Struthio camelus: one gene and its partner. The protein of the gene in region 2 purifies or fractionates together with the protein of the main gene of each other region. This does not show direct contact. Links are inferred from orthologs where the notes say so. Each region holds a gene or a part of one and is shown on either strand. Other genes may lie near its edges. The genes, in order: ERC2 and RIMS1.

Region 1 (16,993 bases), on a different chromosome or scaffold from region 2:
ACAAAATACACTTATTTTTAAATAAGGCAGGAGCTATGGTAAAATAATACCCCCAAAAAACTGTTAATCATGTTCATACAAGAAGAAGCATCTGTATTGTCAATACTCCTACTGATAGTCTTTGAAACATAAGATTGTTTACATGATAACCAATAAATATATTAGACATACATTAGAGACAGCTATTAATTCTTTACAGGAATATAACCCAAGAATCTAAAATAATTTGAAGGAAATTGACTGTATTTAACTGTAAATTTGCCTAATTTTACATTAGACATGTTTAGCAATATTCTATCATTTATACCAATTTATTTTTTGAATTGTAAAACGCATTTTACAATAAATGCATTAATACTTCTACACAACAGAGTATTTTCCACTGAATTCACAAAGGCTTCTCCCATCAATATTATTAAACACAGGCTTATACGTTTGCAAGATAAAGCCATATTTTCCTTTTTTTGCTATAAAACTTCCTTTTCCATATGAAAGCAATAAAACCATAGATACACCATAGACAAACTAAATAACCATAACACCAGCTATTAAGATTGCCTGTCTAATTTCCCACATTTTCTATTCAATTGGATGTGATAAAACTTTGAATACTTAAGCATTGTGATATTTAAAATTTAGCAAGTTTAAATGTACACACTCTGCATTTTACATTTCTTGGATTCAACAGCAGTATTATGTATGTTCATTTAAAATATAAAACAAAAAGCATACATTTGTGTATTCAGCATGCTTTGCAGTCATCAGAATTCATAAGTACGCTGAACATCGCATCTCTTTTCTCCTCAGTAGGAAATAAGGGTGCGCACATATTTTAGGATCGTGCCAAAAAAGTGAAACTGGCTGTACCTAAGCCATGTTAGACCAAAGTCCTCCAAGGAACACAGACTCTGTAAGTGGTCTGACTGATTTAGCTAATTACCTCTGAATCAGCATAGAGAGAGCTCCATGGAACTGTTAGAAAACATTGCACTTTTGGAATTCTTCCCCCCCCCCCCCCCCCAAAAAAAAAAAAGGCTGAAAATAGTTTCCCAACCACTTCTGGTTATCAACAATTTCATAGCACCACCCAATCCTCCACCTTCACACTGACACAGAACCCATCTTAGCTCAGCATAATCATGTCAATTCACAAGTGCAAGTTAGAAGTCATTACAGGCATCTGATGTTAACATCTGACACTGATGACAGATGCTATTGTACTGCTTTCATTAAGGCAAACAAGTTGCCTGAGCAGATTTCAAACGAGGTGAAAAAGATACCTAAATAAAAGCCAAGGTACACCATGACTGCCAATACATAGCCATCAAAAATAGACATGCTTTACACAGCAAACTGTCTTCCGAAGAAGCATCTGAGAATACCCATTTCTTAAATTATTATTTGACATTGGTCATCAAAAAGAACAATTATGCTTTACCATGTTATGTTTGTATGCTAACCCAAGATGTTCAAAGAACAGAAGTGACAAAAAATATGGTATTTTAACAACAGAATACATTTTGAGAGAAAGAATACATTAGAGAAAATTCTTTAAGTCAAAGTTCACAAGGTTATAAAAATATAGACCCTATGCTTTTTTATAAAAATATTATAGGATTCATTATGTATATGTTCTATGCAATGTTTGAAATATCACATATATCTTAGCAGATTACCTGTAAATTAGTTTTACTGACCATGAAAAGCGCTGAGTTAACACTACTGGAAACAAAAGCAGCATCAGTGCAACCTCCAACAAGATTTAACTTGTATTTGCAAGGAGGAACTAACTCCTGGAAACTACAGTACTGTGGTCTCCAAATCCATTCAATTTATTATGTTTTTGATGAGACAATCAAATCAGATGCCAAATAGTCGCAGTTGTGAGTCTGGACACAGTAAATCTCCATTAGGAATCAGAATGAAATCACCGAAGTACATTCTGTTAGCCTCTCAAAGCCAATAGAACAGTATGGCCAATAAGTCAACATTCAACCCAAGGAATCTGAACAATTTACTTGGAGACAAAATGCTCCACATACATGCTCTACGCAGTGTGATCTGTTGGACTAAATTCAGGAGTGGCAAAGATTTCTCTCGTATTTCTTTCACTTTCTTAGAAACAAAATGCATGCTATATCCAGCTAGCCAGTCATTAGTCTGTGTTTATAGTACATTCCTTTCTCTAGTGACTTCCTGCCTCAACTCCAGTTATCTCAGCAACTATAATGCATTCCATTTTCACATGCACCTTTACAATTTATCTTTCACTTATATTTTTGCTCCTTTCACCTTTTCATGGTATTTATTAAACGGGGGGGGGGGGGGGGGAGGGCTAATCAAAAGAGATTTGTTAATGATTTTTTAATTTTTAAAAATGTGATTTAACTCTAAAGCAAATCTTTCTAGTCATTTTTCTGCTAAAGTCATTCTTTTCTGATTTCTGTAGAAATTAGCTGCTAGATTCTACAGCTGCACTGTGACTTCTATCAGAGGGAAACCATATCAGTGAGTATGACAAGCAATGAAAAGTTTAAAATATATGCTAATAGCTATTGAAAGTGGGATTCTTAACAAAAATAAAGACACACGTTAGCTAGTTGGAAGCTTCATTTCCAGTAAACGGTGAATGTAAAAGTGAGTTTCTAAGCTAACCTTTTGATAGTCGAGAAATCTTATCTTCCTCTTTGAAAATCTGTTTTTAAAAGTTCTCAAAAAAAATTTAAGTATTGCTAGACATCCAAATGGCAGTTTCCCGCACATCCAGTCACAACATTTTTTGTTTAGCCTGGAGAAGAGAAGACTGAGAGGCGATCTCATCAATGCATACAAGTATCTGAAGGGAGGATGTCAAGAGGATGAGGCCAATCTCTTCTCCGTGGTGCCCAGCGACAGGACAATAGGCAACGGGCACAAACTGAACCACAGGAAGTTCCATCTGAACATGAGGAAAAACTTTACTGTGAGGGTGACGGAGCACTGGAACAGGTTGCCCAGAGAGGTTGCTGGAGTTATTCAAAACCAGCCTGAACATGCTCAATGTGCTCTACATAACTCTGCTTGAGCAGGGAGGTTGGACTAGATGATCTACAGAAGTCCCTTCCAACCTCAACCATTCTGTGATTCTGTGACAACTTGAAACTCTGAGGTAGATGTTGGATTCTAAGCCCCATTCTACCTGCCATCCTAAAACAACAGAAATTCTGACACTACAGTTCTCCCCCATTATTCTTTTTGAGAATTAAAGAGATTTATAGTGATATTCAACTTTCCAAACATGTAAATTGTCTATCTCCAAGCCTACACTTGTAATATCAAGAAGGAATTTCAGATTTCCATGGACAAAAATGGTATGACAGTACTTCTTCACTACTGCTTTCGTCTTGTTCAGAACATAGCGCCTGGCAGACTATCTCTGAAAGGACGTGAGGTTGGTGTTCCTACCTAGTTGTTATAATTACTCCAAAACTAAACCTAGCTGTTTAAGACTTTCCAAAACTGGGCATTTTAGAAGCCAATATCACAAGTCTTTCTTGAGAAGAACGACCAAGAAAGTAGCATTGAAACTGAAATACTATGCAGGTTTTAATCTTCTCTCTAGAATCATAATTTCCCAAAAGCCTGTAGTCTGTCATATTTAAAAAATAATAAAAAAAAAAGCACAGAGCTGAAAAAATGAGGTTGAAGCCACTGTTAACTCAAGACAGATGTGTACCTTTTCCTATACAAGCAAACACTCCAGTATCTATAGTTATAACCATTTCTGGACCCCACAAACAGCCCACAACCATTCCCTGACAAAACCACGTATTTTTGTTACACCTTATGTATGGGCAGTGACAAGCCAACATAAATCCATTTCATTTTATTTCAAAAGGATTGTTTCTTAAAAATAAATTTTAAAAAAGCATTAGCCTACACTTATACAATAAAACAAAAAAAGGAACAGTTAAAAATCAAGTGCTGTGAATTGACTTTTCTGCTGATCTGTATTCTCATTTTCTTCGAAGTACCACCCAGAAGAAGCACTACCAAGTTCATTTAGAAATTTTTCTATCCATTTCCTAGGTTTCTCTTGATTACCTATGCCCCTCAAAAAGCAATCATAATCTCCTTTTGAGTTAGTAATTCCTGCCCTGTTACCAAGACTTTATAGAAAATAAAAATCTAGTATTAATGTTATGAAAAAAGTAAGTTGAGACAAACTCATCAGTGCTAAGTACACATATAGTCATCCAAAAACGACTACTTTCTTTGCAAAAATACATTAAAGTAATGCCAAAAATGAAAAAATATAGAGCCATAAATGAATTAGTAGGTGCACTACAAAAATTATTTCAATGTCCCAGTAATATTTCTTAGGTGAATGTGAACTATAAAATTAAATTAAGGAAAAAAAAAATCACTCTTTACCCCAAGCATCTTACAGTCTAAATTAAACTGAAAACATAACAAATGCATCACGATGGATAAAAATATAATACTGTAAGAGACATAGATGGGAGAGCATATGCTGTCTTTGAAAGTAATACACTGGCTGGTTGCCTCACCCTCACTGAGGGTGAAAAACCTACTCTTATTTTGTTAGTCATCCCTTAGAGGTCTGCAAGACTCATCTTTCTAAAGCAAGAAAATCACCCTGAACAATCTCTTTCAAACACGCACAGGCTGAATAGCTAGTTCTCTGAATACCAAGTTGATTTGGCATTCTAACCTGGCTGGGTGTGCTCACTTGATGTACTAAGAATATTGGTCTCCCCCTTCCATTGCCACCTTTCTACAGCCTTCAGAGCAGCAGGAGACAGGAGGGGCAACTGGCAGGAATAGCTATACTACCATTCATCAGAACTTTGACCCAGCATTTGAGTATCAGCAGGTTAGGGGAGCTGAAGGAGCAGAACCCACAGACCATGAGAGAAGGTGAGATGCGACTCCTCCGAAGGGAGCTTAAACACAACAGAAAGTGTCATATCTTAATAATAACAGATTCAAATACTGCCTGAAAGAAGGTAAAAGGAGACCTATGCTCAGGAAGACCAAAGACACACACAATTTCTATGGCAGGGAACTCCATTTTGCCCAGTAGGCTGGGAAAGGACAGAAGATGTCTCAGCACACCAACTTTCTCTTTGATTTGTGTGAAGAAGAGTAACTAAGAAACCACTACAATGGTACAAGACATATCTTAGTTCAAAACAGAAGACACTTGGTATCCATAAACCCATCTTTATAGTGGGGAGGAGGGGAAGTAATCACCGCCAATTAGAAAACCAAAGCATTTGATCTCAATGCCAGAGTGAGGAAGACAGTATCATCTTCCACTTTCAGGAAGAAATCATACCAACGTAGGTATCCCACCACCTGAGCAAGACTAAAGTAGGAGCTACTTAAAGACAACAGCAGCTGATTCTCCTCCAAACCTGTAAATATACAGGTTTGCAAATATACAGGTATGTAAATATACATTCTCCAACATAGAAACATCCTTTCAATCATCAGTACTACCTTTCAAAATCCTTACTCTGACTATTTTCTGAAGTCAGTATTTCACCATCTGTTCTCTCAAAAAAAAAAAAAAAAAAAAGCCACACACACAAAAAAAGCAAAAAAGCATTTCTGAGAGAATGACAGCAGCACAGTCCACACCCTCACTTTCTTTTTCACCAGCAAAACATTATCTCCTTCCCCTCGTAGTGGCAATTTATGTGGTGATAAAAGAAACTATTTCAAGGCATAATACCTTGAAAGTGAAACTAATGCTACAAAAAACAACAAATAAGAAACATCTCAGTTGTCAACTCCACAGTTTGGATACCCCAATTCAACCTGAGCTTATGAAGGACTATCATTCCCTTCACTCATAGGGCAGAAAATCTCTCCTACGAACTGCAGCAGAAACAATGGACGAAATCCTGAGGCTGCTAGGACAAACATACTGTCTCTCCTCTTCAAAAAGCGCTTAGGAAGTGAGAGCACCTTAATTTTTTTTTCCCCATCAATTTCCACTTGGAAAAGTGAAATAGCTAACTCACCTTGATGCCTTTTAAGACTGTTTTATAAATGGTTTCCAAAACCATTACAAAAAACCCAGTAGTGGAAAAGTTTCTCTAAAGCACTGATGGAATGTAAAAAGAGTAAGTTTCACACACCTTGCTGGAGGGTGAAGCCTTAACACAGTCACCCAAGACTTGCATTCAAGGTAGCTAGAGAAATGGTCAATGTATCTTTTCCCACAAAAACATACTATTTAAGGTGACTGAAGAAACTTGCCACTATACATCCCGTACATGCAAAAACAGAACCTGAAAAAAAAAAGCACATTTTCCCCATCATGTATGAGGAAAAGAAGAAATCTGAAAAGGCACTGCTCACGTGGGTGAGACAGTGAGGGGACAGGGCGGGGGCTATAAAAACTTCCACTCTTCTACAGGTTAGGCGTCGAGACCACCAGCTAGCACTACCAGAAAAGCGAGTTAGGAAACTGCCTGACCCGGTGAAGCAATCAAGGGGCACTCGAAAAGACGTTTTCACACTGTTGGAGTGGTGTGGGCACCACCACCACCACCTCCGCCGCTGCCGAGGCACGCCAGCGCGGGCAGCTGTGAGGAGGGGACCAGCGACCGTTGACGCCTGCGAGCGACCGTTAACACGCGCGAGGCGCCGCCGGCGCGCGCTGCCTCCGTTCTCCGGCAGCGAGACGAGCTCGGGCGTTCCGGCCCGCCCGCGCGGGAGGGGAGGGGCGGGGCGGGGAGGGGCGGCACCGCCCCGCCCCACCCCGCCCTGCAGCGGGTGCCAGAGAAAGCCCCGTCGCGCAGCTCGTTCCCTGCCTCGGGCGGCTGGTAGGACCGCGGGGGTCGATCCGCAGCGAGGTAGGGGGAGCTTCTCCCCGCGACCAGCTGTGGCGGCGGGAAGGGGGAGAGAGGATCGGATCTCTTCCCCTTAGGCGAATTCAAGGCTGTCTTCCCCCCCCCCCCCCCCCCCGCAGGGAGGCTGCTGCGGGGGTCGTTGACGCGGCGCGGGTGGACGCGGCGCTCTGCCACAGGCGTCGCCCGGCGGGAGCGGGGCGAGCGCGCAGGAATCCGCGGAGACGGTCGGTCTCCCTGCGAAGGAAAGGGGAGGTGGTGGTGGTGGTGGTGGGGGCAGCAGGGCAGCCCGAAGCCCCCGTGCCGCAAGAGGAGCGGCTGAATAAGCGCTGAGGAGTTCCCGGCTGCCGGAGGCGGGAGGGGAGCGTCAGCAGCGCCACAGCACCTGCGCCCCGAGCGGGGCGGCAAGGAGGGAAGGCGTCTGAAGGAGGATCTTTCCCGTCCTCTGCTTCACCACAGGGAAATGGAAATGCCGGCAGCCAAGACACTTGATGGAGGGGGGCACCTTCCCCTCTTCCCCGCCCTTCGCGGGGGGGGAGGGGGGCTGGGGACGGGCCTGGTCTCGGCGGCGCTGCCGGGAAGGGCGGGGGGGGGGGGGCCGAGGCGGCCGCCCTGGACCCGCACCCGGCGGTGGGGGAACGGGAATAGGAAGGGGGGGAGGAAACAAACAAACGAAAAAAATCCCAAACAAGCAAACGGTAAAGTGAAGCCACTGATTTAAAAAGCCAACCAGAAAACTAACCCTGACAAGTAGGATTTGCCCTCCTCTTGGCTGCACGTATTGGCCGCGCTTATTTGCAACGAGCTTGTATCTGCCGACGCGAGTGGCCGGTTGGTTTGTCCGTCAAAAGGGAAATATCAGTTCGCCGCTAAGGGAATAGATTCCCGTCCATCCATCACAAGGCTTAGCAGGTAGCCGCCTAGAAATCAATCATACACTAATAATAATAAAAAATAAGCCTTCTCCGTCACATTACTATTCTAGTGTTTCTAGCAAAATATATGTGTACGTTTGATTAATAGATGCATGGATTTTTATCATGTGCATCACTCCTGTGCTACCTAAAATGATCTTGAAAAACCACACACGTAGGATAATAAATGAGCAACCCCAGTAAGTATTCATTAATTATATAACTGCAAAATAATATCCTGCTAGTTTCTGGCTTCCCTTCCCCAGATACTAAAAGAGAACAGAAATCTCTTCCTCCTCCCCTCCCTGACACAGTTTTTTAAAACACCAGACATTATCCAATATTGAGGTATAAAGCTAGGAATTTTCAAAGCTCATCAATTCTGTTCTAGAAAACTTTAACAACAGCAGCAATATTTTTAAACACCGGGCACAAAAAATGAGAATCCTATCGCTGCTTTTAGGAGAAATTGCAAGAAAGGTATCTGGCTGACGATTCAGTAGGGAGAGGCACTCTGTTACCAGAATAAGATATGCACTTGGTCCCATTTATTGCAATATATTTATAAAGCAAGGTAAAAAGCTTCTTCTGCAATCTCATTTCCAATTTCAGCTACCAGACAGTTATAGAAAGCAATATATAACAATTTCCTTAATCACAATTAATTTATAGTAATGTGTTATGGCCATATTCTCGCGTAAGCTTCTCACCTTTCAAATCATTGCATCTGTCTCTTCGTCCTCACATGGATTTTACAACATCACGTTTAGCTGACATCTCATCTGCGCAGAGGAAGGCAGCAGCGCGGAGAGCTGGAGCACCCCAACACCTACGGAGAGAGGAAGAGCGGGGACCTGCTGCAATCGGGGGAGGCTCATGTGCTCCTGTCCCTCGTCTTTCTGTCCCTCAGTGAGTGTCCCTCAGCCAGCTGCGAGCCTGCCTGTCTGGGCTGCCAGTCCCTGACTCAACATTCCCAGCATTCCCGAGGAGCTGGGTTTTCATCCGCGCTGAGCGGCCTGCCGCCGGGGGCAGCAGCAAGCTCCCTGGCAGCAGGCACAGCAAGAGAGCTGTGACAGCAGCAGCACACGTACCACAAGCCTGTGGCTTTCTCAGAGTATTTGTCTCTGTCCGTTCTTTGCACACCCAAGGGTTCCATCCCCACCCAGCAAATGTCTGAAAGGAAAGCACGTTAGTCATTGTGCAGCAGCCTAAAAATACACCTATGTCTGCGTAAAACTGCCGAGGCTAAATTGCTTTCTCGGCTCTATTCATCAAAGGCTAAAAGCGCTCAAAGACAGATGCTTAAAAGCATCGTGTCTAAAATCGGTTACTGTGTGTGCATACACACGCACACGGGAGAAAGAAATCTAAATCTGTATTTTGGCCTAAGTGTCAAAGTAATTAAGGAGATGTCCAGATTTGTTTCTGGGTTAAAAAAAATTAGCAGAAAAAAGGAAAAGTGGAAGATTAGCTGCTATATGAAGCCTGAAAGCCTTTTTCATCAGAAAACTGCAAACTGCATTGAAGAATTGCTCCTGAGGTTTTATTTATTTAGTTCGATATTAAGGGGAATGAGGGAAACATTCCTAAAAAATACCACTGACTTCTCATCTTAAGGAATGCATTTCTTTCGTCTTCCATTTTTCCCTTCTCTCACTATTGTATTTTCTATGGGTTTACTTGCTGTTGATAACAAGATATTGTAGCTGATCAACCTCAATCCATAGCTTGAAGGCAACTTCATACCTTACCCTCTCCAGAATTTCACAAATATATTGTATCTGCTCTTTCTTAATGTCATTGTTGTGACACTTCTTAAGACATAACTTCCTATCTGTAGTTGCCTTATTGTAACCTGCATCTTACCTCCTATCTTGCCCACATATGTACCTATATGTACCACTATTGAGAATCACTGATTAGGGCAGCTTTTATGGATTTTCTGTTAGAAATTAGGTCAAATGAAATTGGTTTCAACCAAACAGGTTTAAAAATAACATAACCCCTTCATTGCTATAGTTGCATTATCCAACATCAATTGAAAGTGTTTGCTGTTGCAAATATGTATTTGTAGATGCAACTATTCAAAACAATGCTAGAATCCAAATCATAGTAATGATAATGGGTTTTATTTTGCTAGGAAAAGGATATATATCTATGTACCTCAACTATATTACAATATAGGGCAAGTATTTTTCTGTGTTCAAAGTAATGGGACAAACTGTGATCAAAATGCAAATTTTAATCACTTTTCAAAGCTGTGTATTTACTTGAAGAGATTTCTGTTAAAATAGTTACAAAAATATGGAAGTGATGGACAGAGAAAAACAGTTCCTGGAGACACTTGACAAGAAAGGACGTGGTTTTGTATACAAATAATTGACTTGATCTAAAAAGCAAGCAGGAAGTAGGGTTTTTTTCTGTACTTCAAAAGGTAGCAAGTCTGCATCTGTAAGAAAATGGATAAATGCTGTAAAATGTGGGTCACCTAGCAATGCTTCAAAGCGCAAGAAATGTCGATTTTCAAAAGTTTAATGCTTAATTTGGATTCAGTGTGCAAAAAGAATATCTTGCAGAGCTGTCTCAGTATTGCTAATACCAATTCTGTCTCAGTACTGTTAATGATGACAGGACTTCTGTTAAAAGTGGTGTCAGCTGCTGTCAGTTTTTTTTAAACAGCTTATCACAGTGTATACCTCATATAGATGCAGAGACAGGAAGATCAGGTTCTGCTTCATCTTTTTGTGACTCATTCACTGGCAAAGGTTATGGGCCTTGTGACAGCCGCCAAAAAAGGGGATCGTTCTGACAAAAGACCAGTAGCCTAAGAATCCCCTTTCCAAGGAATAATAATTGTGGGAAGATGCCACAGAGCTACCATAAGGTTGCAACAACATTGCAATGAATTAGGCTTGCTATCATTCAATAAAGTTTGTAGGAGAATTAATCATAGACCATCTTGGAGCAGTAGACCATCTGCAGACGGACTGTCAGTACTGCTAATGCCAAAGAAGAAAATATACCCATTATGGACAAGACCATTTGGTATAGGTATTTTTTTGCAAAAAAATATATTTTGCCAAATTGTGTTGGAAATAATTATTGGAAGAAATGTGCAATTCAAATAAAGGGAATGATCAGAATTTTACAGATGATCTATTTAGTGTATTAGAGAAACAATACGTACCCAAACAACCTCACAGCCACATACTCCAAACCCTTGAATAATACTTATTCCTTACATTCAAGACAATACTGGAATCCCAATCCAAAGGGCAGGGTAATAATGGTAATATATACTTGAGAAGACCTACTTTGCAAGTGATGAAAGCTCTCCTTTCAGTCGAATGGTGGAGCATTTGTGTTGTCACTGGTGTTGTGATGCAGGTGGATGCCATTAAGCATGAAAAGAAGAAAGCCAGGTCATGTGAGTAAACTAGCATTTTTTTAAAAATGTAAAAAGTTCTGATATATGATTAACAGACTTCATTTTTAGCCAATTGTTAGAGGGAAGCAGTCAGTTACAAAATTTGAACAAGTGTTTATAATATACATGTCATGTGGTGGTTTATCTATGGATTACACTTTTCAACAATTTCTACCTTACAGGCATAAACACATATTTTTGACTAGTGTGTATGATTTTTTTCCGTGAAAATCTTTCTATCTTCAAAATACAGCATATTAGTAATTCTTCATGAGTATATTATATATCAATACCTGCAAAGAGCCCATTGGAATTAATAACAAAATTCCTTTAGATTTAAATGAGAGTAAGTTAGACCCTAAACAAATAAAGTACAGAAGAAACACAAATTTTAAAGTCTGCTATGATTTTACTCAACCTATGCTATACTGATTTCAGAAACAGGGAAGTATAAAACATGTATAGTCTTCTTGCAATTTTTTGGTTCAGTTTTTCTAAGTATAAATAATTTAAATTAACATTAGAAAACACATATAATGCTACTGATAGTACTCAGTTCCTGTGCCTCCCATTACGCTTCCCAACTCTTCTTCCGTGTAGTAAAGACATTTCAGCAGCATCCAGCTTCCTTTCATATTTTGGTGAAGATGTACGCTGTTCAGAACTTCCTTTTTTGAAAACAGAAATACAAATAGAAACGGAGCTCAGTCGCTACTAATGCATAACTGAGAGCAAACAACCACAGGTGTGTGCTTTAAAAATTGAGAAAAACGCATTTTAGCTTTATTCCCTTGAATCTGACCCTGATGTTTTCATCTGTGCCTCCCTAGCGGCTGAGTTGCTTTCAGCTTTAATTTTCTATTACGGAAGCCAAGTCAGTAGCATGATATAGCAGTCTCCTTTACTTTTTAAATAAAAATTAAAAGTTAGAAGTGACTTGGAAAAAACAATTCTGGCATTACATAAATATCATGTATGAGAAACTGAATTGCTTTCTCCCAAAAATAATAGAGCATGAATAGAAACAATGTAAAGGTATGAAGACAGAAGCATGGGACCTTCTTAAGGAGAAATATATACGATGATCAGGAGGGTCTGTCCCTGCGTTATGATGGTAAAAAACAAAAGTCTGTAAGGTAATACTAGATTAGAATATTACTAAAAAATTTAATCAGTAATCCTGTTTACCCTATGTTGCAGTAAAGAGTAAAATAAATGCGAAGATAGGCTGCTTGATAAAATTTAACTCTATATTGCATTCATGAGCACTTTTAAAGTTAGTTATAATTGTCCAGTAGAACTTTCTATCACACAATACTACTGAGATAAATTGCTTTGATAATAGTCAAAGAAAGGGATGTAAGGGATTTATTTTGTGGAAAAGAAAATAAGTTATGATGGATGTTGGTCCTCTTCATTCATTTTAACAGCTGGTTCCCAGCAAAGATCAAATCAGCAAGTAACCTTCATAGCGCGAGTACTTTTCAGTTGGTAAGATCTGAAGAGAAGAAAATTTATGGAAGTGTGCAAGAAAAGAAGATATTTTCACGCAGGGTATACTCATATCTCTGGAAGAAAAGAAGAATAATCTGCATGATTTAAGCTGAAGGTTACAGAATAGATGTGGTGATCGGACTTGGGGTGATCGGACATGGGGTAAGCATGTGAACTGAAACCATTTTCCAGGATGAGGTCCTATTAGTGTAATCTATGGAGGTGTTTTAGTCTCAGTCAGTAATTCATAGGACAGCTCTATTTCCTCTTTATCAGCTCAGATACCTGCCTACAGATACCTGTTAAATTCAGTCATAAAATGGTTTCCACTGGAAGTTATTTCATTCTTTACTGTCCTTATGACAGATCACCAAAGTCTGCTGTCTTAGTTTTCAAAATCCTTAGTATAATTTATTTAATTTTATCTCAAAATGACACATGCTTTACAGAGCATGGGGAAAATGTTACTTAAGGTATACATGAAAGTTTAATACATTATTGTGGAATTCATTGTGGAATACATTACTGTGCAATTCAAAAAAGGAAAGTGGATGCTTTTTTGGCAATTGCATAATTAAAGCAATTTATTGTGCACTGCATTGCTAATCTAGTCAGGATAGAAATAAAGTTACCCTAGCATGTTTTCTTAGTTTCACTGTTGCAAATAGAGCAAAAGTAGCAAATTATTTTATAGTGAAAATATCCAGTTCATAGAACTCCTGCAGCTGCCACATCCCAAAATGCAGATATTAATAGGCTTTTCTATCAACTGTACAGTATGTCAGAGTCCTAAAAATATTTCTTGCAAAAATTCAAACTCAAGTGGCCCCTAACAACATCTAGTGAATCTAGTTTAAAAAAATCTTGAATTAGATTTAACATTTTAAGATCTAAAATTTTATCAATGGTACTTTTATTTAAATCTCGCTGCATCTGTTTTATGGGAACACAGTATTAGCCGCAATACAATATTGTACCCATCACGCTCAGTGACTATGCTAGTGCTGCTGCTTAACAAGCAGTGACTAGTGAGCCATAGGCTCCAGGTAATATTTTTATGTCAGTTTGGACACTATGAAGTTTAAATCCAACGGACATTTCAGTAAGCTTTTAAGTGCATACCTTATTCCTAGAAAGTAGGCCTAGATACAAGCAATTCTACTTAGAAGCATCAGCGCGAGGCACTTCATCTGAAGCACTCCTCAATACCCCAGTTTTATGAAGCTGAGAAGATCTCCTTCCCTACATGTGTTCTCAGCCGCTGCAGCTGACAGGTACAAACAAAATCAGGATTGTAGGGCAGTTCCCTCAAGCATGCTGTCTTTTCTCAGCAAAGCTACAGAACGGTTGTCCAGTAAGTGAACATTTTGCTTGAGAAACCTTCTTCTCTGGTTTTAAAGAGCTGGGTACTGAAGCCTGAGTCACTGCCATTATCACATTTACATGGTAGAAGGATTTGAACAGGAACTGAACTGCTTAAACTTGTTAGATCTTGCTCCTCAAGAGTAGTCCCAAAATGGAAGTCAAATTCCCATACTCAGTAGCTCCCCATTAGGTCAAATAAAGTAAAATAAACTGAAAAGAGTAAAAACTAACACCCTTGAATAAGCACTTCAAACCGAAAGTGAATACATATATAAAAGGTAGCAGAGGATCAAGCTAACAGTGAATCTGCAGATGCTTCACTACTCTAGTACTAGTTGTGGATTCTGATGAGGAACAGCATGTCCGACAGAGTACCAAGTCCAATATGCCTGATTATGGAAGGCCAATCCAGCTAACATTAAAGCTACTTATCAGTCAATAACTGACATTACAAAGAAGGCATGAGGCTCACAAAACTGTTGTAGAGCTCCCACGTTTGTAAGAGGAGGACTTGACAGTCTTGTATCTGTTATTCTGTATAGACATTTATGCTGAAGGGGATTTATAAAATTACTATTTTGAGATAGTAACATTTTATATATATTTCACATTACTTTATGGGCTTACACAAAGTACAAAGTCATGGGGAATTAAGTTCCATTTATCTAATATATTACTTTAGCCAATTTACAAATGTTTTTACAGGTGCATTTACACCTGTACTAGTATTTCTCCTTCATATTTTTGCATGAAAACATCAAAAAATACTCCAAAACCCAAGTTCCTCAGTGAAAAACTATGATGCAAAGGCTCAGGTTCTCTCAGTCTTCAGTTTTATTACAAAGTGGCAGAAATTTTAAGAAAATTTTCAAAATACTCTGAGCTATGCTTGGGTCTATAGCTAAAACATCAAGGTTTTTTCCTCCTTTCATGTTTTATAATTCTAGTTTGGGAATATTTTAAGCTATCCAACATTCTTTAATTTTAAATTTGTTTGTTATACATGGAGTTATGCTGTATAAAATACCATCCAGAGAACAACACAACAATGTTAGATTTCTACCAGTAGCAATACATTTTTGCCTCACATAGAACCTAAGACCAGATTTTAAGGAACCGTTATTTCTGTAATTGGACAGTTGTCTTACGCTCCATAATTTCCACTGAAGTATGTCTTAATTTCATTGTCTAATTCTCATATTATTGTACTGATAACTTTTAGAAAGGGATCTCTTACACTTAACAGCACTGGATTTCACACTTGTGATTTAGATTCTTGTAAGTGCTGTAATGTAGAAGAGCAAATGGTACGTGCCATTCTGAATACTTCATTTATGTTCTGATCTTTCAAAACTTAAGGAAAGTTTAATATAAGTTTGAAGGAACCTTTTATGTTGCTATAATTAAATATCAGTATTTCTATGATGATTGTCTATTACTCTGACCTGATGAAATATCAGGGCTTCTCCCACATTTGTTTAAAATTTGGCCACTGTTTGAGGATATGACTTCAAATGATTGTGTCAACTTATCTTACCAGTTCTGGAATTAAAGAGATAAAGGTCTTTTTCTGATTAACTTCTCATTTAGAACAAGCCCTGTAAGCTGCAGGTATAGTAGCACATTTAATTACCCCTCTCTGGCATCCAGACCAAATGGCGTAGAATGGTCTGGATTGATACTACTAAGCTCTCTAAGCTCCCAAAATAGGGTAGTCCCATGTAAATTGTCTATTGGGAACATACTCTAACCTACACTGACTTCCAAAATATGCTGAGAACGGGGAGAGAGGGAGCTGGTCTAGGCCAAAACACGATAGCTACTGTTCTATCAATTGAATAGTACCAAAAAATCAAGTTTCAGTGCCAAGAAGTGCGTCCTGACCTTGTTTAATTTACCAGCATAAACGTAACTTTAGATGAAATTCTTTCTTACTGTCCCATTGATTATGAAGGCATTCTTTTCCTCTTTCTCCAGAAGCATCTAATAAGAACATCCTCCTCTGTACCTGATACATCGCAACAAAAAAAAAAAGCCTATTTCAATACTGAGGGTTGCAGATGAAGCACCTTCCCTGGGTAATTTAGATATAGGGATCAACTCAGTATCACCTTTTTTGCATTGTTCCATTCTCAGTATTACATCCTATTCCACTAGTATATTTGTTGATTATCTTTCCTAGAATGAGTAATTTGTGATTTCAGTAATTGAGACACAACAATGTACTGTAATAGAAGTGTTTTTTAATGTATGTAAAAATAGTGGAAGTCTACATTAAATTGGACTTCCTGTGAGTTCTTTATCTCTTTATTAAGTTACATACTGAACTGATATAATATGAGCATATTTTGTTTACAGAACTGCTAGGTTATTATAGAAATGTTGTTAAAGCAGGTTATTGTGACACACACCACAGTGAAGATCACACAACAATGTAACCTGGAGAGACAAATCACTGCGTTTCTCTGCTTAAGCATGGACTTGAGTTAATCAGTGCCCGGGAGTATCATGGTGTTGATTTAGTAAGTGTTTTGTGCAACTACTATTGTGCAATCATAGTGCATAGTGCTAACAATAGATTAACGTTACAATTTGTGTTGGAAAAGAGAAAAAAGAGGGCTTGTAAGTTAAAAGAGGGAGAAATGTTTTCCAGTTGTCAGCTTGGCATAACATAAAATTTCCCTACAAATAGGTACAAAATGGCTGCTAAAGTACAGGAATTTCTCATCGTCAGTCTGGCACATCTATTTCTAGTAGATTGCAAATCTAAGCATATGCATTTTGTGAGCATAAGTATGCCTGAGGTGTGACTGTGCAATGAAGGAGAAGGTGGATCTCATAACATAGTTCTTTCAAATTGAAGTAATCCTCTTTCTTTGTTATCACTTAATAAAACATTGTTTAGAGAAAAAAATCCATATATGTGATGC
Region 2 (16,245 bases):
CTTCTGAGGCAATTCTTATGAATCTGTGATTGTCTTCTGACGGTCTCCTGCTGTTGCCCTGGTAGTGAGGTGGGCCCCTGTTAGAACAGTCAATGACTCTCTCATAACTGCAGTACAACAGAACTGTGTCTAGTTATGTGTAGATTTTGACTACACACAGCAGTCTCCTTAGATCACTTACTCCAACTTCCTGCAGGAAAAACACTATTAAGTTCTCTGAAATTCCCTGAAAGCCACGACTACCCTCCTAGAAGTCCTGAGCTCTCCTTTTGTTGACAGATTAGGACTCCTTTCTGGGCTTCATTTGCCCTCGCAGGGTGTTAAGAACTTGACGACTCAAATGTTGTTAACTTTTTTCTGATGCTTCCCCTAGCAAAAAGGCAAAACTAGCATCAGCGCTGTCCAATTTCCTCTTTCCCTCCCTCTATGGCCTTGGGCAGTAGAGAGAAAGCTTCTGGGAGCAGTGCTATGAGCAGTCCTTCCTCTAAACGATTCACTCATTTGAGAACGTATTAGAGCCGTGTTGCCCTATTGGTCTCCCTCTTAAACTTTAAAACTTTCAACAAAGGGAAATGCCAAGTCCTGCCCCTGGGGAGGAATGTACTAGTACAGGCTGGGGGTCGACTGACTGGAAAGCAGCTTTGCAGAGAAGGACCTGGAGGTCCTGGAGGACAAGCTGGACACAGGCCAGCAATCTGCCATTGCGGCAAAGAAGGCCAACAGCTCCTTGGGCTGCATTAGGCAGGGCGTTGCCAGAAGGTCGGGGGAGGTGATCCTTCCTCTCTACTCCGCACTGGTGAGGCCACAGGTGGAATGCTGGGTCCGGTGCTGGGCTCCCCAGTACAAGAGAGACATGGACTTTCTGGTATGAATATAGTGAAAAGCCATGAAGATGATGAAGGGACTGGAGCACCTGACATACGAGGAGAGACTAAGAGAGTTAGGACTGTCTAGCCTGGAGAAGAGAAGTCTCAAGGAGGATCTTATCAATATGTATAAATACTATAGGGAGGTTGTGATGGCAACAGAGCCAGACTCTTCTCAGTGGTGCCCAATGACAGGACAAGAGGCAGTGGGCACAACCTGAAGTTCAGACGTTCCATCTGAACTTAAGGAAAAAAAATAAATAAATAAAACTTTTTTTTTTTTTTTTTTTTTTAACGTGAGGGTGACTGAGCACTGAAACAGGTTGCCCAGAGAGGTTACTGAGCCTCCATCCTTGGAGATATTCAAAAACCCAACTGGATGTGGTCCTGGGTAGCCTGCTGTAGGAGACCTTGCTTGAGAAGGGGGTTGGATTTGACTTTTTCCCAGAGGTTGCTTCCAATCTCAAACATTCTGTGATTCTGTGAAAATCCAGCCCTCTACAACGTGGATTTGTAAACTGAAGTGTCAGGATTAGACTTGGTACTGCCAGGAAGAGGCACAATGCAATATTAGAAGGGACTATCATGACAATTTTAGGTACCTAAACTACCCGAACAGCAGGTAAACTGAATTCTGCTCCTTGCTCATCTAAAGAGCTTCAAACATGATGGTTCCAAACCCCTTTAAAAAAAACTAAAAAGGCTTTCAAGCAACAGAGGTGAGGATATCCTCCATTCCTCCTGTGCCATTGCACAAAAAGGAAAGTGAGATTCATGGAACTATGGAAAAATAAGCAAGAGGCAGCCTGACTCAGAGAGTGTCTTGGGTATTATTTATGTATTTTATCCTTTAATTCCTTAATGCAAAACGCACAAGCTGTTCCTAGAAACCTTGATTCCTCTTTCGTCGTCTCAGTGGGATTAAAGGATAGGCTTTAGATCCTTTACCTAAGGATAGGATAATGACATGCTTCCTCATGAAGGCTCCATGACTCCCACATTCTTTCTCTATAGTGGCCCAGTTTCAAGAGAAGAGATTGAGAACGATCCTCTCTCTCCCTTCCCCAGTGTTTATGAAAGGGGAATTAGCACCAGTGGGTTTACGCCATTTAGGTTAGGAAGGTTGTTCCTTATTTTTCTTCTGACCGATTACTGTTCAAAACACAAGGGTGGCAGCAGCTGCCACTATGTTTTGAGCAGAATTCACTGTTTTCTGCCAGTGTTAAGCATAGTCCGAGTGTTAGAAGTAGAGAGGGAAACAAACTGCCTCCAGGAAACTGGTCAGAAACAGGTGCCTCCTTGCCAATCTGTTCATATTCAGAGAGTTGTGTACCTAGCAGTTCTGACTGAAAACTTCTGAGTGCACACAGGAAATTATAGGGGATATCTTGAGATCTTTCACCATAAACACACATTCTCATCAAACATTAAGTGACTTCAGGATTTGGCAGCCCTGAAAAGTAAGTGGCTCCAGTATCTCCGTTGGTCTAGAAACCTGAATTCTAAGTTCAGATTTGTGCACCACACTAAATGGTCAAAACAGGGTGTTAGGATCACCTCCTCCCTAATTATCAATTGCCATTCCCTTGGCAACTCTTCAAACAACTGTGTTAAGGTCTGGGAAGGCTATGAGCACCTGTTGGCTTCTCTAGTGAAGCAATTCAGCTAGGATTACAAAACTAGAAGGGACTCCCCCTGTGTCTGTGAGTTCAGTTTCCTGCTACTGCCAATACAAGGCAAACAATCTCTTTAACAACCTGGTTAAATCCCATCACAGGAGTAGTACGAGCTTTTCTCCCCACTTAAAATTTGCTCCAGAAAATGACTGCCCTGATAATTAGAAACCTCCTTCTAATTTCTGGTCAAAATTTATCCAAGGGTGATTTATAGCTGTTCCCTTCTTGATCAACTACTGTTCCATAAGCAGTGGAGAAAAGCAAACTTTGACTGTCCCAGTGTATGGTGCCTTGTTGGGACATGAGAGTCCCCAGTAGAACAGAACTGGAACTCAACTAGCAGTGCTAATAGATGCTGTATTTTGCACATAATACTTAACTAATTCATATGATATAATGCACACAACTACTTATAAGCAAACTTCAGCTTAAATACATACATATAAATGCATATAGTTCTGTGATTTGTCTATGTTGGAAATTTATGGCAGATTAACAGAGGGTATTTCACTTCAAAGCACCTTACGACCACAAACAAACAATATAGTTGTTGCAGGCTTAGTGTTTGAATGTATATTCAAAACATTCAAAATCTTTCTTAAAGTGTTTTTGCATTTTTGCAAAAAAATTGCTTGTTTTTTCTCTTCAGCCTCACTGAAAACTTTCCTCCTCAAGCATCCCCACAATCACCTGTAGGTCAACATCTGCACTTCAGCCTAGTCACATCAGCCACTCAATACAAACCTCTTCCCTTTCACCTACAGGAGTACCTACCATGTAGAACAGGACAAAGGCCTCCTATGTGAGCTAGTCTGCAGAGGAGGCCATGGCACGTTCTACCACTGGGCTATACAAACAGTTGTTCATACAAGAGCAGTGGAAACTTAGGCATCTAGAACGCCAACCTCCATATAAGAGAGCAGAGACTACCATCTCCAGAGGAGTAGAGACTACCGTCTCCAGAGATACCCACAAAATCCAGCACGGTTGGCATGAAACAGGAAAGCAAAAATGGGCGAGAGCCAAGTCTACTGTGGTAAAGCCACACCTCCTCAACAGACTACTCTCCAGTGCCTGCTGTGGCATGCGCAAAGGTGAAGTTCTCGAGACCACACAAGAACAAGGAGGTAGCTCTGAAGACCAGAGACAAGATCCTTCAGCTGCGAGGGAGGATGAACTGCCTCCTAGTCCCCGAGCTTTCTGCATTTTAATCAAACGACTCTTTAATAAAGGCTGAATTAACAGCCCTGGCTAACAAAAGCATGTATCCCCTTGCAGGGGAGAGCTCTATTTGGGCTTGCTGTTGAGTTAGGCTCCTGGGCCCATAAACTTTTCATTCTGCTCTGTACGGGGAGCTAAACCGTCTCCACTAACTTATAACTTAATAATACTTCTCAAGACACAATCTCTGAGGCTGAGAAGTGCATTAGGCTTAGATAACCACTTCCTAACTACCAGGCTATTAGACCTAAAGTAGTCAGAAGCAGTAATATTGCCTACATGTTAGGAAAGGGGCCACCGCTTTAACACCGATGTTTTGAGTTGAGTTCAGTGTTGAGTCGAGTATCAACATGCGTAAGACGTGTGCTGTATTAGCATCAGGTCTTTCAGAAGACTTAAGCATATTACTGTAGTTTGTGACTCCCAAACAGGCAAAGGCACAAGACAGATAGCAAGTCAAGCAACCCACTGCAGCCAAGCCACTCATGCACCTGCACATGTTCTGGAGCTACGGGCCCTGGACACACAGGAATACCTGGCTTCTCAGGTGTCTTACTGAGGAAAGATTTTTGTGGACTGCACCCAAGCTGCCTCAATTTTTACTAAGTGCCAGGTAGGCATCACAGTGCTTATGTGGATTTGAGTCTTCAGTACCCGACACCAAACTGGAGCTGCACTTCTTTGCATCAAGGCATGGATATGCTCTCCAGAGTACCTATAGTGACATTGACTCTCTTAGAGCAGAAGGCAAAACCTGTTCTTTGGAGGTAAAGGTGACTTCAAGGGAATCGGCTAACATTGAAATGTTCCTCATGGCAAGATGCGGCTGCTCTTAAAAAAGCAAAAGGAAGAACCTTCACAGAAGTCTTCAAACACATTGCTCCAAGGTATTCAACAGGTAAGAGGATAACAGAATATTTCTCTTCCACAAACACCAAACAGGGCAGTCTGAAATCTGATATTGAAAGGGTCAGAGGAAGACAAGGTCTCTGTCACTGCTCAGGAATACCTTGGGGGGAGGGGGAATTAAAGTCACACTGGCCAGTACAAGTTGAATGCCTTTATCCTAAGGGCACGGCAAGCTCCTTTAGCCGGAAACTCGGCAGGCCAGTAAACTGACAGGGCAAGTTTCTGAAGCAAGATGGGCAAACAAGGTTTCAAATAGAAGGATACCTTTTTATAATTCTCCAGAACAAGCAGAGAAAGCATTATGTTGTCCCTAGTCCTGTTCCCTGTAGCAGCTCCCAGGCTGGCACGCTGCGGTATGTGCTGATGTCAGCATGAACTGACAGAGAGGTTTTACAGGAATGCTTTTAGCTCACGGTCAGAAACAGGGCTCAGGAAGCCAGAGAGGTACAGACATGATGGAGAGGGACTCAGCCTCATCACTGATGACCCTAACCTCTTTCACATCTCCTGAAATCCATGCAACTTACTCACAGAAACACCTCAAATTCATTCCCTTGGATCCGCAATATTATGATCATCATGTGAAGAATACTGTAATTTAACTAGCAACTGTTCCTACAGTTTTCACTATGAGGAACCCTGAAAAGGAAAATTATAAATACTGTTTCAGAAACTTTTATTGCTAACTATCAGGACATCCAGAACAGGACAGAAATGCTCTACCCTTTTTAGTCCTTATGACTCATGAGGCACCTGGTATTAGACCTCTCATTGGTCCAGGACTGGAAGTAGCCTAGTTTGCAACACAGATCAGCCTTACTTTCAGGGGACATTCCAGATTTGTATGTGGGCGTTACAGAAGGAAGCATTTCTCTGCCAGGTGGTTTTAAATGAAAACTGGTGGCTGTTTTGTTGAGACATTTGGAAAATCAGAACAACTTTTACTGAATATAATAGGAAGGGACAGTAATGGTATATGACTTTATAATATAGCTGTGTCATCTGGATAGCACCATTGCGTATTTGTAGCATGCCTCCACAAAATTATGGAAGTAAATTCTTGCCTCAAAATCCAATCTATAAGGGAAAGACGTGTATAGCTCTTGTTTGAGGAAAGGGGTAAATGCTAGGCATATAGGAAAGGCAAACGATTTTAGAAATATAGCGGCTCCATGAACATTCAAAATCATAATCTACATGAAAACTATTTGCTATGACCTAATTTTTGTAAATCAATGATATAACTAAAGCTGGTAAACAGGTTCATAAGCTTTTCAGTATATTTTCAATGAATTTCTGGCTCTTTATTTAAAGAAAAAAAAGGTCTTTAGAATCACAATCTCTCAGACTGAGGGAGAACCTAAACTGTTATTCTCGCAAATTAAAACAACTGTTTTAGGAAATAAACTTTTAACGTCAGGTATCATAAACCTTTAAACACAATATAAAGTAATTTCAAGCAGTAGTAATTTAACAAGCAGCAATTTTTGACCTCTTCTAAAAATTATTTTTAAGAAGTCTCCCACATTCTTTTAGTGAAACTGCTGAGGACTCCCAGAATCCTACAGAAGCAACAAAGTATCATTCCAGAACTCAAAAATGACTACATGAACCAAGAGCAGAAGAAAAAAAGAGGAGGAAAATTTATCCCCTATTTCATGTTAGCAAGAACGGGGCCGAAAATTACCATCTCGGCTGACAAAAGTCCCTTCTAGTAGTGACTACAGGATTTATTAGTATTGCTCTACAACATCATCATAGAATCAGTAATCTTCTTCACTGAATAAAAGGTAAATATTTATAGAGAAGTAGCTGTAGCAGAGGACAAGGAATGGGAGGAGGATAAACGCAGCTTAGAGCCTTTGAACTATTTCTCCCTTTCATCTTCTTCTCATAAATAAAAACTAAAGAGGCATCCCTCACTTATGTTTCCTCCTATTGACTAATACAATACATTTTCACAAAATATTTATTCGCTCAATCATTGCACCTCAAAGATTAACCACACCCCAAGCGCATCAGACAGCGAAATGAACTCTTCCTCTTGGACCAAGATCCAGACACCACATTCCCTGCCTCAGTCCCAGTCCTAGGCGATATGCAGCACGAGCAACTGGACCTCCGCATACACCTTTGCGATCAGCACCAGTAGCCCCTGTGGAGATTCATATCCAGGCACCGATGAGAAAGGACAGAGACAGCAATATAATGAATGACTATAAACTCCCAGCTTCACCACTTGCAATACATGGCACGGAAGTTAGGAGCCTGCAGGGATTTGGTATCTCTGTTGGTTAGAGGCAGCCGCCGGGAAGAGCTGGAACCCACGTCTGCCAAGCGCTTATTTCTGATGCGGCCAAAGAAATCCCCAGACCATGTCACGCCTTCCGAAGGTCCCTTCCAAACCCATACATATGCGGACAGAAGACAATGAGATAAGGATACACCTTAGATGGTAAAGAGACTGTAGGTAACAAAAAGGGTTGTGTGTATTCCATTTACCTATTCTACCGTTTCCCTCACAAAGTGAATAGGCCTGAAGGGTAGCCAGAAGAGGAGAAAATCTGATTCTCCTCCACAGGCCACAGTTTCAATCTGCTTATTCTCATCACTCACAGCAGGCAACTCAGTAACGTTAGGTTTGAAGCCTCCTATTGATGGAGGAGGCTAGGCAACGTGGTCACATGCATTGTTTTTGGCAAGGAAAGGGGGGGAAAAAAGAGAGAGGAAAGGTTCAATAGAGGCTGTAAGGTCCTGGTTTCCAAATATGGCATCTACCAACACCCCGAGCTCCCCACGCCCCTGCCTGTGCAGCCCGGAGCGTGATAAACCCAATTCCCCTCCGTCCCACAAGCACGCACGCACGCACACTTCCCCTCTGCCGTGAGCAGTGCGACTAATTACATTTGTTTTCTAATTATAAACGCCTTGTTGTCTCCACAGCGAGCTGCCGCGCAGCCCCTGCCCGCCTGGGAGCCGGCGGCGCGGCCCCGCGGAGGGGCGGCGGTTGGCGGCAGGGGCGGCGGTTGGGGGCGCGGGCGGGGCGGCCGTTGGGGCGCGGGCGGGGCGGCCGTTGGGGCGCGGCGGCCGTTGGGGGCAGCCGCCGACAACCTTCCCCCCTCCCCCCCCGGCCTCCCGCCCCTCGCGGACGGAGGGAGCCGAGGCCGAGCCAGGTGGGGGCAGCACGGCAGTTTCGGAGGCTCCCGTGAGCAGGGGAAACCCCACCCAGCAGTCCCTCCTGGAAGGGGCGGCGCCGTGGGGACCCCCAAGGAATCCCACCTCGCCCCTCACCCCCGTGTGGGGGCTTCCGCCCTCCGCCGGGCGCTCCCCTGGGGCGGGCAGGGCCGCCGTCCCTGTCCGTCCCGCGGCGCCGGGCTCCCCAGGCAGCTCTGCCTCCCGCGGTGCGGGAGGACAACTGGGGAGAAGGAAGTTACGGGTCGGGGGCGGAGGAGGACTGGGGCTCTGCAGCGCCAGCCCCGCTGAGGGGTCCCTGCAGGGCGGCCCGGAGCAGGGCGAAGCCGGCCCCGGGCACCGTCCTGCTGCCGCTGTGGCAGCGCCCGCTCCCGCCCGCCAGCAATCGGCGCATGAATGAGTGACTGAATGAATGAATGACTGGCGTCTGCTTACTTGAGCATGGCCTCTTCTTTCTCTTCCTCTTCTTTCTGCCGGTCCATCACTGCCATAATAATGTTCCTCTCCTCCTCTGTCAGGTGGCTCAGGTCGGGCAGCTCCTGCATCGGGGGGGGCACCGTGGGTGGGCGAGGGCCGCGGGGCCCCACCGAAGAAGACATTTTATTTCTGCCTCTCCCTTACACCTTCTACCTTGGCAAGGCAAACCAATCCAGCCTCTCCCCCGCCTCCCCTCACAGTGTAGTCCTCCGAGCAGCAGCAGCAGCCGGCAGCTCTCTGGCAGCAGCGGAGGAGGCGGAGACCCAGCCTTTCATGGTCGCTTGCATCCAAACCCAGCCCGGCTGCTGCTGCTGCTGCTTCCTCCCTTTGTTTCCGCGGCTTCAGGGAGCTGGGGGGCTGCCGCGCCGCCGCCCGCAGCCCATCCTCCTGGCGGGGGGCGTGCGGGGCGGGGGGCGCCGCGGCGCGGAGGGCTGCGTGCGGGGCGGAGGGGGGGCGGTGTGCGCCGCGGGCCGGCCGCGAAGGGCGGGTGCTGCCGCCGCCGAAGTGCTCCGCCGCTGCGAGCTCGGAGCTGGGAGGAGGAGGAGGAGGAGGGAGCGGGGGTTGGTGCCGGTGAGGCGGAGTCCGAGGCGCTCCGCCGCCGCCGCCGCCTCTCAGGCGGCAGCGCCGGCTGCCCGCGCCTCTCCGCCCGGGGTGCCCCTCGCTCGCCCCGCGGCCGCACGCCCGCGGAGCTGGCCCTGGCACTGCCTTTCTCCTGACGTCCCCCCTGCGGGCTTCTTGCCAGAGCGCCCAGCGGGACTGCTGCCTCGCTTTCAGCGGCCACCGTCGGGCTCTGGGCAGCCGCCGAGGAGCTGTGCCGCAGGCTTTCTGCGGGGTGGCCTAAGGCAGCCGAGGGGGCCTGGGCTCCCTGCTCTGCCCAGGTGCCATGGGAGCTGTCACTCCCTAGCCCCTCAGCCATGCTCGCCCAGCCCCCTTACCTTGAGACACCACGTTGTCCACCCAACCACCCCTTCCTCAGGCTCCTCCGTTCAAGCTTTGCCTCCACTTGCCTTATGAGCTCCTTACGCAGGGTAACAGGGGACCCACGAGCTTCAGCTGTTCCTCTCCACACTTCTCTGCGGGTGGTGAGCGCTCTCAGCTATACCCATATCTCTGTCACGTCCCATGTTTTCCCTGCTGGGACCCACCAAAACTTGCCATGAAACATGCCATAGTCCAAACTGTTCCAGCACACAAGAAAACAAAACTTCACTTCTGGACAGCTTCCCTATTGATTTCTGATTTACTAGCTCACACCTTGATTTGAGGGAGCTGGTAGTTAACACAACAGCCCTTCTCTACAAGAGATTATCTGCATGTAATCCACTGGCCAAAACTCATGCTTATAGCTCTGAAGGGTCCCCTATTCGAATGCATGCATATCAGTGAATGAAATCATTCAGGCTACTGAAAAGTGAAAAGCTGAGAAGCAGAGAAAACTCCACTTTCATATAGAAGGTGAGCTACTACTAACACATGCTGACACTTCAGACCTCTCTGTCACGCTTCTGACGAGGTCACAGCATGGAAACAGCTCTAGCTTCTAGAGAGATCATCTCATGGGCAATAACCAAAGGAAAAAAATCTATGCTGGCAGCGCTCAGTGCTTCTTGCTGCCAAACTCACTGGGTTTGGAATAGGGAGAGGGACCAGCTTTCAGCCAGCCACACTAATAAACTCTTGCACAAATTCTGAGGGCGATGAGTCTTCATGACCCTTTGAATTTGAGAGGAATTACTCTCGCCATCTGCTTGTGTCCCCCCAAGAGATTTCCTGCAGGAAACAAGCTGGTAATATAAATGAAAAAGAAAAAGCACTAAGCAGTACTGTGATCATGAAAACTTTCACTGATACTGTCCAAGTTCAGTCGCTTTCATCCTGCTCAGAAAGTGAAGTCTCTCAACTATTCCAGCGCATGATGGAAACTGAAACTTGAATGATCAACAGACAGCTCAGAACAGATTAAAGTGGTGTTAATAAGCAAAGCATTATGAAGGGGTGGTAAATATCATGATGTCATGGTCAGCTGAAGACACAGACCCTCCACTAATCTGAGTGGTAATTTGTCCCAGGGCCCAGCTACATTATCACTGCTAGGTGTAGTCCTCCTAGCCAAATGTTAATATATCAATAACATCACTTTCTACCGTCTGTGACCGCAAGGGAAGGTAACCTTTCTGTTAAGAGAATGAGGCTAAATAATTTTCCATTCATTAGCAACAAGCAAAAAGTACAGCAGCTAACTCTACTTGAAACTGAAGGAAGCAAGACAGAAAAGAAGAAGAAAAAAGAAGGTGAGATATCAGAGTATCTTTAGTATTTGAAAAAACTAAAACATGAAATGATTGGAATAGTAATACTAGATGTAATAATTATGTTGTTATAGATATTAACAGATAGTCCAGACTCCTTCACATAATTTAAGCCTGCACATGTCATAGAAGATGTAGCTCAAGTTACTGCAAGAACTAATTAGCTGAAGCAGCGGCCAAAGTTTGAGAGGCAATGCTTTAAGGCTCACCCAGACAAAATATTGAAGGCCTAACACTATACGATCCAAATGTCTCCATGACAATTTTATAAAGAAAATGTAACATCATCTAGTTAAGTGTGTAAGTTATCCTACTCACCTTTTTTCTTATTAGCTACTGACACAACACAGTCATGTAAATCTGTGCTGTATTACTTCATTAATTGCTATGTGCTGGGACAGGCACACAAATTCTTATTGCTACATGTGAACTACCAAATAAGTTCAAAGAGTGTGAGGAGACTTTACATAAAGTTTCTTATAACTTAAAAATGAAAGCTTTTGCAGACTAGTGGTAGGAAAAGTAAAGATGGAAGCTGGAATATGGTCTTGCACCAAGTTGATATTGTGAATAAAATCATACTACAGAAAATGTCTTAGGCATAACAAATGATTTTACATTATCTTATATTTTTGCACAGAGAGTAGAATTTTCTAGAGAAAAACACAAAAGAAGCCACAAAAATTCTCTCATTTTTCATAAGGCTACATTAGGAGACTCGATTCATGTTCTAAGTATTTCAAACCTCCACTGATCATTTTCTGACTTGCCTACATCTGCTTTGTAAAGATGAAATATCTGGCATTGATATCCAGCCAAAGATGCATGGAAAGCCCGATCTAGTTCAATATGTTATATCCTGAAGCTGAAATGATACATGAGAGCCTTGAAGAGCATTTCATTCCTGGCTAGTAAGAATGCCCCCCGTTTGGTAACATCTAAAGTCTTGTCACTGAAGGGCATTCTATTATTAACTGATGGGCATTTCTTTGAAGTCCTATCTGGGGAAGACAGCTGTGAAATCTAGAAATGGAATATGAGTACAACTGTTGTAACATATCAAGTAAATTACTTTCTTAAACTTTGCTGTCTTGAGAAACCAATCACTGGAATGGAATTTGTGATGAAAAACCCACATTTATGCTGGTTCCGACTAAACAAAAGTAATAGTCTTCTGCTGTTCATTTAATTGTTCGCCTCTAATTGTAATGTTTCTCAACTAAAAATGTTCCCTAAATTAAAATCCTCTGAATTACTAAAATGTATAATATATATTTGTGTTTCACTAACAAGTTCAGCCTTAGTTGTCAAGAAATGAAACTGACTTTCTAAGTGTTTGAGAATGTTGAGTTTCATTATGCTATGAAGTTGATGGCACAAAGTCTAGTAGGAGGCTTGCAGCTAGTGGTGTACTCCATGGGTCCAGTCTTGTTCAATGGCCTGGATGAAGGCCCAGAGTGCCTCTACAGCAACTTGCTGATAACACCAAACTGGGAGGAGTGGCTGATACACCAGAGGGCTGTGCTGCCATTCAGAGGGACCTGGACAGGGCTGGAGAGGTGGACAGAGAGGAACTTCACATGAAATTCAACAAGGGGAAATGCTGGGTACTGCCCCTGGGGAAGAATAACCCCATGCACCAGTACTGCACAGGCTGGGGGCTGACCTGCTGGAAAGTAGCTGTGCAGAGAAGGACCTGGGAGTCCTGGTGGACAAGCTGAGCATGAGCTAACAGAGTACTCCTGTGGCCAAGAAGGCCAATGGTCTCCTGGGCTACATTAGGAAGAGCATTGGCATCAGGTCAAGGGAGGTGACCCTTCCCCTCTACTCAGACGTGATGAGGCCACACCTGGAATTCTGGGTCCAGTTCTGGACTCTCCAGTAAAAGAGAGATGTGCAGCGAGTGCAGTGAAGGGCTACTGAGATAATGAAGGGACTGGAGTGTCTCTCCTATGAGGAAAGGCCGAGAAAGCTGGATTGTTCAGCCTGGAGAGGAGAAATCTCAGGGGGGATCTAATCAATGTGTATAAATATCTAGAGGGAGGATGGAAAGATGAGACCAGACGCTTTTCAGTGGTGCCCAGTGATAGGATGAGAGGCAACAGGCGCAAACTGAAACACAGAAAATTCCGTCTGAATCCAAGGAAAAACTTCATTATTGTGACGGTGACTGAGCAGTGGAACAGGTTGTCCAGAGAGGTTGTGGATTCTCCTTCTTTGGAGATATTCAAAAGCCATCTGGACAGGGTCCTGGGCAACCTGCTTTAGATGACCCTGCTTAAGCAGAGGTGTTTGACTAGTTGAGCTTTAAAGGTGCCTTCCAACCTCAACCATTCTGTGATTCTATGGCAACCTAGAGAATAAATTTGGACTACTCACCAAACTCTTATTGAGGAGAAGAATGACTATGCAAGTTAGACTACTTTGTAAATAGGTTAAGCTAAATTTCACAAGGGTACTCAATATTTAATAAAAGAGCCCGGGTGGAGAGTTACAGCATGAATAATTCTTTAAATTCACGATACCTGTTTTGCATCCACTGTTCCATAACTTCTGAGTGAACAAACTGAATGTACTACTATTTTTAGCTGAAACCTACTTAACTACAACAGAAGCTAGTAGTAGTTTCTAACGATGACTCCAAAGAGCAAGAGAGTCAATGGTTTCATAATGGGCATAGTTTATGCAAAATCCTTTGGAACCCAGGCTTCATTGAGTTTACTTGATAGGTCAAGAGCTCCTCTAAACTTTTTAAACTTTAGTTTTCAGAGATCTTCAAAGTAAGTAGCCCATAAGTCTATTGATTTATGCAAAAGCATTAATGGAAATTAAGGAAGTGTTACATTTTAGGAATCTTTCTTTTCTTGAGAAATCAAAATCACCTACCCAAAATATTGGAGAATATTTTGTCCATATGACAAAATGACAATATGACTGTCCTTTGTAACAGGACTCTCATAAGATTTTCAACGATTTCAGCCATCTTTGCTTGTAAAAAGAAGCACCCATGCTGTGTACAAATTATTTTTGAAAGTACTACCACTGAAATGTCCTTATTTTGCATCTTATAATTTCTTATTTATAAATACCTATCATAGCTTAATAATCTTATTCTTCTGAAATGTGAACTTTAGCTGAAGAATGGTTTGGGTACAATAATCAAAGTCTTTCATATCTGTATTCCTTTCTCATTGGTTCCTTCTTTCTTCACTGATGCTTCCTAGTCTCCTTCCCTGTTCTCAAAATACCCACAAGCACTTCACCACTTATCCGTTCCAACCACCTTCTGGTGCACCTTTCCTTACTGCCAACAGCCCCGTTTCTGCTCCTGCCCTTACCACTTACATCTCGCTGTGTACTTGGTATATCTACAAGACTCACCCCTCCACCATACCTTCATACAATATTAGCTCATACCCCTAAAAATATATCTCCTTTGATTTTTCACAACTCCAAGCATCCAGTATAAGCAAATTTTTGTTATACGTACATCTTTGATCACACTGCATCATATCTCATTCACTGCCATTCATTCATAAACTTTTAATCTGTTCTTCTCAATTCACACCAAGTATCCACATATGCCCCATACATGGCAGACGCATCCTCCCTTTATGGTTCCAGACCTTTCAGCCTTAGGAACTTTCCTCCTCCCCCTATCTTCCTTTCAGGCTATCCGAAGGTCATAGTCTGAATTTCTCAATTGCACTCCTACTTCCTTTTCAAGCTCTTTTCATTAGTCCGGCTGTGAGCAGCCATGATTGTCTATTTTCTTGTGGGAGGCAGACTGAAGAGAGGAAAGGGAAACAGACAAGTCAGAGGGTTTTTCTGTAAGTTCCTTCTCTAAACAAGTGGTGTTTTTTGTCAAACTTGTGGGAGACTGGGGGTAGTGAAAGCTGTGGAGGAGTCAGTTTGTCAGTCAGTTTGGGGGCTGTGATATTTGAAGGGCAGACATGAAGGGGGAGATATCCTGTAGTATCAAGGGATCAAAGTCATTTCTCACAATAGCTTTGTAAATGTGGGGCGCTGTGACTTCTCTCGCACTCAAAAAGGAGTCAAAGGAATTTAAAAGCTCCAAAGACAGACCAAAATCATAGCAAAATCTCCTTTTCATCAACATCTCATGATTTTCAAGAGCAGTTTTTTGTATTGGGATCTGACTCATGATTTTTCACTTCTTAAAGTTTGGTCGTACTGCAATATTTTAAGTGAGGAAAGAAGGTCATGGCTAGCTCTAGTATGAGAAAAAATGAAAATAGTTCTTTTCAAGGCAGCCAACAACCGCTGTAACAAAGGGAGGTTGTTGCAGGTAAGGATTTCAGGGTCTATTCTGGACAGGATGTGTTATTATGCCTTAATTTATAATAAATGACTACACACTGCAGTGATGAGTGTCTTAAAAATACTGCCAGAAGTCTTGATCTTGTTTTAAATATGAAAAAAAAAGGAAAAAAGATCAGAAAAAGCAGATCCATCAGCAGAAAACCTTATGGAGCATGGTTTTGGATGACAGCTTTGGATCCTCTAGTGTCAAAGAACATGGCTAAATTCACACTTCCGCTTGTCCTTTGGTAGCTGCGTAAGTCTGAGTTTCCCTTATCTGGCTGCTGATTTTCATAAAACCTGATTATCTGAAATTGGTCAAGAGATTCAAATGTATTGCTGGAGAACTGACAGAAGAACATTGTGATTGCATAGCTTTGTTTCCTTAAAAATTAGACTAAAAAGCCTCTCCCCACCCCCATAGGTCTCTAATTATTCCCTTTGCTCTTCTCAGTTCCCTCCTGTTGTATTTCTGGCATGGCAGTTTCCAGAAAATCATCCCGTCATTCAGGTGCAGCTTGCCAAAATTGCAGAAACAGGAACTGTCACCTTCCTCCTCCATGACATGATGCTTCTATATGTGCAGCTCCAATTCATACACCCTTTTAGGTGCAATAGTGCATTTGCAAACTTGTGTCTGATTTGAATCTGTTATGAACTGATTCTTATTTCAGCGTGGCTACTTTCCATATGCGTTTTATATGTTATTTTTTTAATCCCAGAAATACTAACAAGGTTTAAAGTGCAGCATCATTTTCCAAACTGCGAAGATCAGTTAGCATTTTGTCTCCTTTTAACTACAAAGAAGCACAATAAGGACAGAACTGACCCCAAAAAAGGGTATCTTCTACTCTTCTTTATCTTCTAGACCTATTGTCTAAAGCTGATAACGCAGGCAAATTCTGCATCACGTTCAGCCCCGTTCAGTTCAGGAGAACTCCACATAAGGCCAGTTGCGTAGAAGAGACTTAAGTTTGTAATATTTTTTTTAAGAGCTGCCAGAAAGACTGAGAAGTGCTATGGCTCAGACGGTGGAAACTGAAGCCCAATACTCTTAGTCAGCAATCTGGCAGTCGAAAAAGCGATGATTCAGTAAGTAAGTAATGCAACATTTTCTATAATTGAAGCCCATATCTTTTGGAATAAGAATTTTATTGTTGCTTCAGTTGTTTTGCTGAACAGCTTTAATATCATTAGTAAAGTAGCCTACAAATATAATAAATATGTAATCTACATTGTGATATATGAGTTTTTGAATCTGTTCTCTGCCAA

What was found.
Region 1: the proteins of RIMS1 (region 2) and ERC2 purify together in Homo sapiens (affinity purification with western blotting; 3 studies listed by BioGRID and IntAct, with this or other methods). This does not show direct contact. The link is inferred for Struthio camelus from reciprocal best matches to the Homo sapiens genes RIMS1 and ERC2.

The regions. Positions count from the first base shown.
Region 1 is NC_090955.1:15,816,384-15,833,376, reverse strand, and holds the start of ERC2 (ERC protein 2), read right to left. Parts: upstream 8,586-16,993; 5' UTR 8,488-8,585; intron 7,784-8,487; 5' UTR 7,606-7,783; intron 1-7,605. UniProt on the Homo sapiens protein: Thought to be involved in the organization of the cytomatrix at the nerve terminals active zone (CAZ) which regulates neurotransmitter release. Seems to act together with BSN. May recruit liprin-alpha proteins to the CAZ.
Region 2 is NC_090944.1:41,559,341-41,575,585, reverse strand, and holds the start of RIMS1 (regulating synaptic membrane exocytosis protein 1), read right to left. Parts: upstream 8,745-16,245; 5' UTR 8,464-8,744; coding exon 8,300-8,463; intron 1-8,299. UniProt on the Homo sapiens protein: Rab effector involved in exocytosis. May act as scaffold protein that regulates neurotransmitter release at the active zone.